3 linked regions of the Canis lupus familiaris genome follow. The protein of the gene in region 2 interacts with the protein of the main gene of each other region in a biochemical or structural test. Links are inferred from orthologs where the notes say so. Each region holds a gene or a part of one and is shown on either strand. Other genes may lie near its edges.

What was found. The genes of interacting proteins can lie anywhere in the genome.
Region 1: the proteins of IRAK1 (region 2) and IRF7 form a complex in vitro, tested with the Homo sapiens proteins (2 studies listed by BioGRID, with this or other methods). The link is inferred for Canis lupus familiaris from reciprocal best matches to the Homo sapiens genes IRAK1 and IRF7.
Region 3: of the proteins of IRAK1 (region 2) and PELI1, one has a biochemical effect on the other in vitro, tested with the Homo sapiens proteins (5 studies listed by BioGRID and IntAct, with this or other methods). The link is inferred for Canis lupus familiaris from reciprocal best matches to the Homo sapiens genes IRAK1 and PELI1.

The regions. Positions count from the first base shown.
Region 1 is NC_049239.1:26,059,184-26,062,926, forward strand, and holds the start of IRF7 (interferon regulatory factor 7), read right to left. Parts: upstream 2,208-3,743; 5' UTR 2,187-2,207; coding exon 2,167-2,186; intron 2,092-2,166; coding exon 1,929-2,091; intron 1,855-1,928; coding exon 1,650-1,854; intron 1,343-1,649; coding exon 1,287-1,342; intron 1,189-1,286; coding exon 981-1,188; intron 809-980; coding exon 713-808; intron 635-712; coding exon 134-634; intron 49-133; coding exon 1-48.
Region 2 is NC_049260.1:123,043,264-123,046,906, forward strand, and holds part of IRAK1 (interleukin-1 receptor-associated kinase 1), read right to left. Parts: intron 3,220-3,643; coding exon 2,952-3,219; intron 2,526-2,951; coding exon 2,460-2,525; intron 781-2,459; coding exon 544-780; intron 1-543.
Region 3 is NC_049231.1:65,153,339-65,157,081, forward strand, and holds the start of PELI1 (E3 ubiquitin-protein ligase pellino homolog 1), read right to left. Parts: upstream 2,233-3,743; 5' UTR 2,082-2,232; intron 1,779-2,081; exon of another isoform or gene 1,736-1,778; 5' UTR 1,665-1,735; exon of another isoform or gene 1,516-1,664; intron 994-1,515; 5' UTR 825-993; intron 1-824. UniProt on the Homo sapiens protein: E3 ubiquitin ligase catalyzing the covalent attachment of ubiquitin moieties onto substrate proteins. Involved in the TLR and IL-1 signaling pathways via interaction with the complex containing IRAK kinases and TRAF6.

The sequences.
Region 1 (3,743 bases), on a different chromosome or scaffold from region 2:
TGTAGTATGGGGAGCCCCGACGCCGGCGAGCCCGGAACTCGGCCATCTCTGCAGGACAGGACCTGGTGAGCAGGGCCCGGTGGGACGGGAGGGGGTGGGGCAGCATCGGCCCCCGGATAGGCACGTCACTGACCTCGGAAGAACGTGCTGAAGTCGAAGATGGGGGTGTCCTGGTTCCTCTGCAGCAGGCGGGGGGCTGTGGAGGGGCTGGCCGAGCCCAGGGGCCCTCCCACCTCCCAGTAGACCTTGCATTTGCCCAGGCGCCGGGCCCATAGCCCCGGCCCCCGTAACTCCAGCTGCAGGCCAGGGGCCACGTGCTGCAGCAGCTTCTCTGTGTAGTGAAGCTGCTTCTGGTCCGCGAGCTTGGCCGGGCTTGGGAAGGCCACGCAGTGGGGCTCAGTGGCCCTGGTGGCCAGGCTGGGGGGCCCGTACAGGAGCACAAAGCTTGGATGCCACACCACCTCTTGCAGCACCGTGCGGCCCTTGTACATGATGGTCACATCCAGGGCCCTGAGCTCTGCCTGCAGTCCTGGCTGTGAGCAGCCGGGCCTGGCCAGGACCTGCTCCCCTGCCACTGGGGCGCAAGGCTCCACCTCTTGGGGGGGCTGCCACGGCTCCGAGGCTGGGCCTGTATCTGGAAGGAAAGGAGGGCTTGACTGGCACCTGGCCCCCCAAGCCCTCCGTCCTTCACACTCCCATGGGCTCCTCTCACCTGTCATCCGGGCCTGGTGCAGGACCTGGGGCTCAGGGCTTGGGGCCATCTCTGCTGCCCGTGGCTGGTATGGCTCCATGTCAGGGAGCTCTGGGCCTGAGCAGCACGACAATGGGCACAGCTGTGGCTCGCACCACCTCTACTGCACATCCTCCTCCCTCTCCACGAGGACCGTGCTGTCCTCCCTGCTCCTCCCCCCCCCCCCCCCCCCCCCCCCCCCCCCCACAGAGCCCTGCAAGGCAGAGCATCCCCATCTGGCCGGCCTCACCAGGAGTGCCTGGAGTGATTGCATCCACTCCCCATGCAGCTTCCAGCAAATGGTCCTCCAGGCAGCTCTGCTGTAGGGCCTGGAGCAAGAGATCCTCGGCATTGCCAGCTTGGCCCAAAGGGGCGCATGGGGCACAGGGCTCAGGGCTCAGACTGTGCCCCAGCCTCTGGCCAGCATCTCCTCCCAGGCATGGCCTAGGGAGCCCACCCTGCAGGGAAGACAGGGCCAGCATAAGCAGCTCCCCAGCCCAGGAAGGAGGGCAGCCCCCACCTGGGAACACGAGCACCGGGGGCAGAACCGGCTTACCATCAGTGGTGGGGTGTCTTCACCCGCCTTCTCCCCATGGTTAATCGCCGCAGCTCCTGAGGGAGAATGGGGTGAGACTGCAGTGGACATGATGTGTCCTTGGGTAGGCCCTCAGAGCAGGGTGGCTCCACCACTAATCCACCCCAGCAGGCCCAGTCAGCTCCCCCCCCCCCCCCCCCCCCCCCCCCCCCCCCCCCCCGTCCCCAACCACCTGGCACCTGCCTCTCTCAGGTCTGTCTCAAAACCCCGAGCCTGCCCCAGGGATGTGCTCCGGTACAGGGCGAGGTCCCAGCGCCCTCGCCGCACCGTGTCGGGCCTGTGCGCCCGGCTCCCCTACGGCGGCCCTGCCGTGGGGTTCCTCACCTCTGCACCCCGGCTCGGAGCTCAGTGCGTACACTTTATGTGGGTCAGTGGGGTCCCCGGAGTTGTCTTGGAGCATCACAAAGCGCTGGGTGCTGCGCAGGGCACAGCGGAAGTTGGTTTTCCAGCCGGCGCGGAGTGCGGCCTCGCAGGCCAGCTGGTCACGGCCGCCGCCGGGCGGCCACCTGCCTCGGGCCACCGCCCAGGCCTGGGGAGGGGTGGAAGGTGTGAGCCTGGGGCCCGCCCGGCCGCAGCCCCCCTGCCCGCCGGGCCGCGGCCCACCTTGAAGATGAGGGCGTCGGCCTCCCCCAGGTCCTTGCGCGCGAAGTGCTTCCAGGGCACGCGGAAGCGGGTGCGGCCGGCGTCCAGCCACCGCAGGCCCTCGTAGCGGCCGCTGCTCACCTCCCCCAGGAGCCAGTCTGCGAAGAGCGGGCGCGGGGCCCCCCTGCGGGCGGCGGCCGGCAGTCAGGGTGCGGGCGAGGCCGGTGGCCACGCACCCCGGCGGCGGGCGGGCGCTCACCTGTCCGCGGGCACGGCCATGGCCCGGGCGGCGGGCGGCGGGCGGCGGGCTGCTGCGGGTGTGCGGTTCCGGCCGCGGCGGCGCTGCTGTGAGCACAGGTGCGGGCGGCGCGGCCCGGGCGGGAGGGCGCTGGCGGGGCCCGCGGGGACCACAGCGGCACCGACGCCTGCGCGGGCGTGCCCGGGGGCGGGAAAGCGAAACCGCGCGCGCCCGGGAAAGCGAAACCTAAGCCGCGGGGAGGCCTCCGCGCTCGCGCCCCGGGGCCCCGGCGCTGCGACCCCTGTCCTCGGGCCCGCCCCGGCTCCGCGGGCCCGTCGCCGCCCGGGCTGCTCCCGCGCTGCACGCGCCGGGCCTCCGAGCACCTGCGCGGCGGGGCTCCGGGCGGGGAGGTGCGTCTCGCCGTGGGGCTGGGGACCCGCGCCTTTATGAGGCCGGCGGGGGGCGGGCCGGGGGTGGGGCGGGGGCGAGCCGGGGGCCGGCCGCGGCCGCAGGTGCAGCCGACTAGCGCTGCGGCGGAAGGTTCCCACGTGTGTTGACGGCAGCGCAGGCTGCGGAGTGCGGGCCGGGCCGGGCGGTGCAGGGGCGGCGGGAGGGCCTCAAGGAGCACCCCGCCCCCACAGAGGCGGGACGGGGCAGGGGGCCCCTGGCAACCAACCCGGGCCTCAGCTGAAGACCCCACACAGAACCAGGCTCTTCCTTTTTCCCAGGAAAGTGGGTGTTGAAGGAGGGCGTGGGGCAAGTGGCAGCCCTATAGTTCAGGTTCTCTTTTAGTGTTAAGTAGAGGGGGCCCAGAGTGGAGCCCACTGGCCGGTCCACAGACGGGAGTGCCCCGGACTCCGGGCGTGACCCCGGGGCCCGGAATCGAGTCCCGCATCGGGCTCCCCGCGGGGAGCCTGCTTCTCCTCCTGCCCATGTCTCTGCGTCTTTCTGGGTCTCTGATGAATTAAAAAAAAAAAAAAAAAAGAAAAAAACAGCTGAGATCAGAGTGGGATGCTCAACCAACTCGGCCATCTAGGCCGCCTCTTGGGGTTTTTTTTGATTATTTTTTTAAGACATTTATTTGAAAGACAGCTGCAGACTGGGGGGCGGGGGCAGGCAGAGGGAGAGGGTCCCCTAGAAGACTTCCCGCTGAGTGCGGACCCCACCCCCACCCCGGCTGGATCCTGGGACCCTGACATCACGACCTGAGCAGAAATCCACTGTCCCCAGGGAACCGAAGAACCAGCCAGGCGCCCCCCCCACTCGGTGGCTTTTCGATTTTTTAAGATTTTATTTATTTATTCATAGAGACACAAAGAGAGGCAGAGACACAGGCAGAGGGAGAAGCAGGCTCCATGCGGGGAGCCCGATGTGGGACTCGATCCCGGGTCTCCATGGTCACGCCCTGGGCTGCAGGCGGCGCTAAACCGCTGCGCCACGGGGGCTGCCCAGCTTTTGGATTCTTAATGAGAATTATCCAGACAAGAACATTCACATGTCCCTAAGAATAAGACATTTGTTTTTTTTTTGTTTTTTTTTTTGTTTTTTTTAATATTTTATTTATTATTTATTTATTTAAGTCACAGACAGAGAGAGAG
Region 2 (3,643 bases):
CCGGCACCCCCGGTCGGGGCACAGGGCCGCTCCGGGTCACCTGTGGCCTGTGTCGGGGCTTGGGCTTCCGGGGGCCCCAGGGACCGCGCGGCCGGCCTACCCTGCAGCCGGGGAAGCTCCATCCCTCGCCTGTTTAGCCCTGTCACGAGGAATGCCGAGCAGTCACGGCTGCTCAAACCAGGGCCGGAGAAGGGCTCTTCTCTGTCCCCTGGGAAGCTAAGCTCACGGCCCTGCTGCCCTCACAGGGGCCTCTGCATTCTCGACGGCAGGGGACAGAGGTGAGGGGCAGGAGACGCAGGTGCAGTGGCGCAGCGCACCCAGCACGGGGCGCCGTCGAGGCCCTTTCCCTGCGCGCCCCGCCGGGTGGGCTCGGGCCGCCCCAGCAGAACTGAAGGGCAAGTGGAAAAACGTCTGGAGACGCTGTCCCCAGAAAGAGGCCTGGCAGGTGCCACGCAGGGCTCGCTGCAGGGCGGCGCCGTGTCTGATGGGCCACCCCCCGCCCCGGGGGCCGCCAGCCAGTCACCAGTGCTCCCCCCGGGCTACCTGGGTCATGGGGGGCCTCCTCTTGGCCCGGCGGTGCAGGCAGCAGCAAGCCAGCTGGCCCAGGACCAAGCCCAGCTCCGGCGGGCACGGCCCGGGCCTGGGGTCCAGGTGCTTCTTACAGATCTGGCTGGCAATCGGGGCGGCCCAGGCATCCGTGGCCAGGCCTGCTTGGAGTGTGCTCTGGGTGCTTCTGAGGGTCACCCCGGCCTCCTCGGCCTCCTCTTCCACCAGGTCCTTCTGTGGGACAGACACTGTGAGCGTGGCCGCTGACGGGGCCGCGCCTTCACCCCATTCCCCGGGCTCTCATCACTGACTCCTGAGGGCTTTTTGGACACTGATTAAGCACCCATGGCGTGCCCAGCACTGCCCCAGGCCTGAGGGATGCAGCGACGGAGCACCCTGGGCCCACCTTCACGGAGCTGACCTCCTGGAGCGGAAGAGACACCAACAAGCCTGGAAACCAACGGGAAGCTTCGAGGAAGGGGCGCCTGGGCGGCTGCCTTCGATGCTGGGATCGAGGCCCACGCCCGGCTCCCTGCTCAGCGGGAAGTCCGCTTCTCTCTGCCTCCCCCTGCTCATCACCCTGCCCCTCTCTCGCTCACTCTCCCTCTCAAATAAATCGATAAAATCTCAAAAAGAAAAAGAAAGAAAACTTCCATGGAGAGGCCCACGGTGCTTTGACCAGGGCCTGAGCAAGTAGCACGTAGGAACCTGGGCGCCGGGATCTGAAGGCACAAATTGGCCAGAGGTCAGAGGCGAGCGGCAGGGGGGGCGGGGGGGAGCACCCCACAGAGAGGTACCCAGGGGTGCAGCTGGGACTGCAGGCCATCTTGTGTTTTGAGACTGGAAGGACCAGGAGGAAGCACCTGGGTGGGAAGGGACCTTTTGGGCAGGAGGAAAGGCTCGAACCAAGGCGCTGGGGCAGGCAGCAGGGCTAGCTGAGCTTGGAGGACAGAGGACACTGGTGATGGCGGGACCCAGGGAGTTGTGGTTAAGGGATTGGGCCTCCGCCCCAAGCCCAGGGGGAAGGCAAAGAGCCTTCCACACTATCTCTTGTTTGTTTTGCAACTTCGCTTAGGCCCTGGCACGGAGAACAAAGAGGAAGGGTCCAAAGAAGACCAGAGAAGGATCCCCGGGGAGCCTGCCTGGCTCCACCCACTGTGCCAATGGGATGTGCTGATGGATGGAGAAGGTGAAGGAAGCGCTCCCGAGGGGCTCCCCAGTTCCAGCCCTGACCCTCCGAGCCTCGCTAACGGACAGAGACAGCCCCAAGCCCGGATCAGGGGCAGCAGGAGGTAAACCAGCCCCAAAACGTAAAGAACAAACGTTGACCGAACGCATTCCGGGCCCTGGAATCATCTGAGCACGGCAGGTGCATGAAGCCTCTTAGCATGTGGGGCCATGGGCCCCGCGACGACCAGCAGGGCTCTGCTCCAAGACCACTGTCGGGCCGGGACCGGAACCCAGGCCTCCCGCCTCCTGGCCCCGTCCCAGCGCACAGTGAGCCAGACAGAGCCAGACAGAACCGGGCAGCTCCCTCCCAGTATGCAGCGCTCCTCAGCTCGCCTGACTTCCCACCGCAGCCTCCCCCAGGGCCCTGTGTTCTCTTCTCCCCTGCGCTTCTGGCCCCACTGGGATCTCCCCTTCCCCACTCCCAGCCCAGGTGGGAGCTGGAAAGGCCCATAGCATCTGCAGAAGAAAGACAGGTTTTTCCTCAGCAAGGTCAAGGGAAGCTGTCTGGAGCCCTGCCTACTTCCAGAGATGAGTCAGCAGTAGCAGGGGCTGGCTTCTGTGGGGCACTGCACTCCAGATCATTCCACCCTCCAGGGCTGCACCTGTTGGTTATCAGGAGTGGCGCTTCCCTGCCTCCCCTCTGCCTCTCTCCGTCCCTCCCTGCCCCAGCTCAGAACGCTCACCAGATACTTGGTCTTGGCACCCTGCGTCCTCACAGCCCTCTGGCCAGCCAGGGTCTCCAGCACAACCTGGAGAGGGCAGGATGGAGAGTGTCGCAGTGCCTCCTGGGATGGTGCTGCCCCAGGGCCTTGGCAGGGACGGCCATGTGCGGCGGGGCTTGTGGGGTGGACGGGGGCGCCCAGCCCAACGAGGCGGCCGAGGCTGACGGGGGCCCGGCCCTCGGACGGGCCGCCGAGGACTGGCTGCCAGCAAAGATGAAGCCACGCGTCATGGGGCTGACGCTTCGGCGGTTTGGAGGGCCACTTGCAGGGAAGGGCCGAGATGTGGGGCCGCGGTGGGGGCCGGTGTCGGGGACGGAGGGGCCCTGGAGCTGACGCCACGGTCAGCTTCCTGCCAGCTCGCTCTCTGGCCTCGGAGGGCACCACCCGGGCCCTCCTGCCTTTGCTTGGCCACAGCGCCCGCACCCCAAGCCAGGAAAGGGGCCGGTGGCTCACCACGCCGAAGCTGAAGGTATCCGTGTCCACGGCCAGTCTCCCCGTCTTGACGTACTCCTCGGGCAGGTAGGCCAGGGTGCCGCGCACCGTCCGCGTCCGGGCCACTGTGCTGCTCTGGCCGGGGTTGGCCCCTGCAAAACGGCTGAGACGGGCCAGGCCAAAGTCTCCCAGTTTGGGCATCAGTCTGTCATCCAGGAGGACGTTGGAACTTGCGGAGGGAAGGAGCGGTGTCGGGTGGGCCCGGGCCAGCGCCGCACCCCACAGTCGCCTGGCACCGACAAAACTGGACTTGGGGCTGCAGCCGGCCTGCACCTGGCCCATGGAAAGTGGCTGGCGCCGCCTGGTGGCCCGGCCGCAGGGTGCGGTGGGGGGGCTCCCTCACACAGTCTGGTCCCCGCTCATCAGCGGGGCCCACCTTGGCCTCTACTTCCACACCTGTCCCAGCGGGCCAGGTACTCAGTGACCCAGGGCCCCTTGGGCCTCAGAGAGCAAGTGGCACTGCTGCCTGCTGGCAGAAGATTCAGGAACATCATTCCCTTGCCAGAGTCTCTGCTCTTACCGCTCTTGGAGGCCCCAGGGGCCTGGCTGTGTCCCGCCCTCACCTTTTTTTTTTTTAAAGATTTTATTTATTTATTCATAGATGCAGAGAGAGAAAGAAGCAGAGACCCAGGCAGAGGGAGAAGCAGGCTTCA
Region 3 (3,743 bases), on a different chromosome or scaffold from region 2:
GCATGGAAAAAGATTGCCAGGCTAAGCTTAGTTCAGCAGGGAAAAAAAAACTATCATTGATTAGTCATGTCTGCCATGGCTGGGTAGAGGTTGGCATACATATGGTATATTACTAACTCTAATCTAAAAGTAGGCCACTCTCTTTTCCAGTACAAAAATCCCTTATCACACTATCTTTGAGAGCTGGCCTCTTCCCACTGTGAGAATACTTTCAGTAATTGTGAGCTTACTATTTTTCAAGAATGTTCCTTGCATTGTTGAACACCTTACATGTTGAGTCCAAAATCGATCTCATTGCGACTTCCAATCATTTGTCCCAATTCTATTATTTGGAGTTGTGCAGACCAAGTTTATACCCTATTGCACATCATAGCTCTTCAAATATCAGAAGGCAGCTATCATTTAATCTCTTCTCCTAGATAAACACCACTGTTTCTTTTGACTATTTGTTAGATATTGTGGTTTCTGGGTCTCCCACTATCCCAAATGTTGTTTAATGTCTCCTTGCTACACTTCAAGTATCCTACTCAGAAAGGGACAAAGAATTTTAGATAGGATCTGACCAAATGGAATCAATTGGGACTCTTCCTTTTGGGTTTGCACATACTTATATTAATAAGTTTCAGTCTGCACTTGAAACATGTTACTTGGTTATTTCACACTGAACTTTCAGTAAATTAAAAAAATATTTGTGTATGAATCACTGAATTCAGTCCTTCTCTTTCCTGAATTTATATTTAAATTTTTACATTTTACATCATATCTTAATTATAGTTGCCCTCTCTTGAGAACTCGTGTTGCATACTCTGTATTTTCTTTCTTACCTGTCCAGTAGATATTCTATTCCCATTTTGCAGCTGTGAAAAGTGAGACTCAGAGGTGCCCAGTGTCACACAACTAGTAGGTTGTAGAGCTTGGAATCAAACCCAATTCTTTCTGGCTCTCGAGTTTACTTTTTTGGCTGCCAAATGCTCAATTTGCTCACTTTGACCCCTGATCCAATATTGAAAAAAGAAAAAAAAGGTGGGGGAAGATAAACAGGCTATCCTTTTGTCAAGATGTTCTATTTTTTTGGTATTCTGATATATTAATCAGGCACTTTATTTTTAAAAAAGACATAAGAAGGAAATAAACTTTGGCTTCACCAGTTCTTGGTCAAGTTCTTGTTGGTTCCTAGTGGTCATCTTTTTTAAGTGCTCACTAGCTGCCTGCTTAGCTATCCAATCTAGAATTTTGCTGGGGATTAATGGTAAATGTATCAGTCTATGATTTCCAGAATCTAGATTATTGGGACATTTGTTTGTGTCCTTTGGTCCCTATCCTACTTTCCATAAGGTCTCATGGCTGCTTACAGTGGTTGTACCTTTACATCTGCATGTGTGTTCAATTCTCTGGGATGGAAGTAAGATGGGCGAGGAGTGTGCCCTCATAGCTAAGTGCTTTCACACTACATTCTTTCCTTTTATTCGTTGGTTTCCTCTCAGTAATGTTATTTGGTCCACTTCCAATCTGTAGGTAAGAAGCAGAGCCTCTCTCGTAATGGAGGGATTAATGGAAAAGATGCACTCAACAAAGTTCCCAGTGTTTTCTCTTAAAACGAATTCTAAAGTGACCTCTTACCGACTTAACAACAAAAGACTGAATGCACGTTCCCAAAAACCTACCTGGTATTAGAAGTCCATGAAATGCTTTTCGGAGCGATCTACTCTTTCAGATGATCTGTGCTGGGACATTTCTCCATGAATAAAAATAATAGAGTCAAATATGAGCATCAACAGGTATGGCTAATTCCCCAATTATGTCCCAATTAGATCTAAGAGTATATGTATTATAAAAGTCTAGTTAAAAGTTTCCAGCCTTGGAATCCCTGGGTGGCTCAGCGGTTAGCGCCTGCCTTTGGCCCAGGGCGTGATCCTGGAGTCCTGGGATCGAGTCCCACGTCGGGCTCCCTGCATGGAGCCTGCTTCTCCCTCTGCCTGTGTCTCTGCCTCTCTCTGTGTGTCTTTCATGAATAAATAAATAAACTCTTAAAAAGAAAAAAAGTTGAAAGTTTCCAGCCTCTGGCAAAGACTGACACCCACCCAAAGTCGTAGATTAGATCATGAGAGTGCACAAATTAACATAGCTGCTGCACCCGGTCCGTGTGCAGAGAGGCACGTTATTAACACAGAGGAGTCACGAAGTAGCAGTGAACACAGCCGAAGCCCTCTCTTGGTTTGCACGGTTCCCAGGGCTAGGAAGAGCGCTCGGGTGCCCGTGGTTGGTGCCCGTGGGTGGGGCGGGGCCGCAAGGTGCACCCAGGCCCTCACCAGCCCGACCTCGCCCGACCTCGCCCGACCTCGCCCGCGCCAGCCGCCCCGCGCCCGGGTCCCGGCCGTTCCCTCCCCCGCCGTCCTCCCGGGCAGGCCCTTCCTCCCACCTCCCTCCCCCGCCTAACCCCTTGAGGGGCGCCGGGGTCCCGGGCTCGGGCTCGCAGGCGGGGCCGCTTGAATATTCATCTGGGGCGTGGCCCCCGCGGGCTCCGCCCCCGCCGCAGGGAGCCGCAGGGAGCCGCAGGGAGCCGCAGGGAGCCGCAGGGAGCCGCAGGGAGCCGCAGGGAGCCGCAGGGACCGCTGCGCGGGCGAACAGTTGGCGTTTGTGCGTGGGGCTGACGCCGCGTCCTGCCCGGGGCCTCACCCTGCGGGCGGGGGAGGGGCTCTGCCAAGACCAGTGGACTTTTCTGAGGCAGGGCTCCCCCCCACCCCCCCAGCTGCAAATCTCCGGGGGCCTCCCACCTGCCATGCATGGGAAATTCCATTGATGAAAATCCAGGCATTATCCTCTCCAGGAGCTTGTCCCTTTTAAAGAAGACAGGACCCCCCCCCCCCTTAATGTGATTAATTGTAGGCTTTCTGTCCCCCTTTGCAATTCTCTCCAGTGGAGACTTTTTTTTTCTGCTTCCCAGGCTGGTTACAACTGCTCCGCACTTTTTTTTTTTTTTTTTTTTAAGATCATCAAGCCATGGGATGCCTGGGTGGCTCAGCGGTTGAGCATCTGCCTTTGGCTCAGGGCATGATCCCATGGTCCCGGGATCGACTCCCACATCGGGCTCCTGCATTGAGCCTGCTTCTTCCTCTGCCTCTCTCTCTTGTCTCTCGTGAATAAATAAAATCTTTAAAAAAAATCTATAGATATAAAAAAGGATCATTAAGCCATCTTGTTTCAATCTCCCCTCCTGCCCGGCATCCTTTACTCAGTAGTGTAGCATAGGGGCGAAAAGCCAGGCATCCTCAATTAAAATTCCAGTTTCACCAGTTTACAGTCTGCGTGAATGTGGCAGGTGAGCTGCTTTTGCCTCCGTTTCTTCTGCTGCATGATGGATCTGATACCACCTATCTCATAGCCTTGGTTTGAGAATGAAGTGATCCGTATACACAGAGTTTATAGACATGTGTATATATAATATGATATGATAACATTATATATTAATCGTATATGATGTATGTTGATGGATGGTGGTCACATGTATTTTTATATATGTATTTGTGTGTATCATATGTATGTAAAATGCCTGAACAGTGCCAGGCATGTATTAAACAGTAAGTGTTACTGTTTTTATTTTGTCTTTTGGCTGGACGAAACTGGCAAAGGACAGCTGAATGTAAAACAGAGTGGAAGTCAGCCCGGGTGGATACTGCTGGAGGTGGAGCCTTCTCAGAAGCAAAGGGGGCAAGAAACCACACCCACTAAAGTCAAAAAGAAAG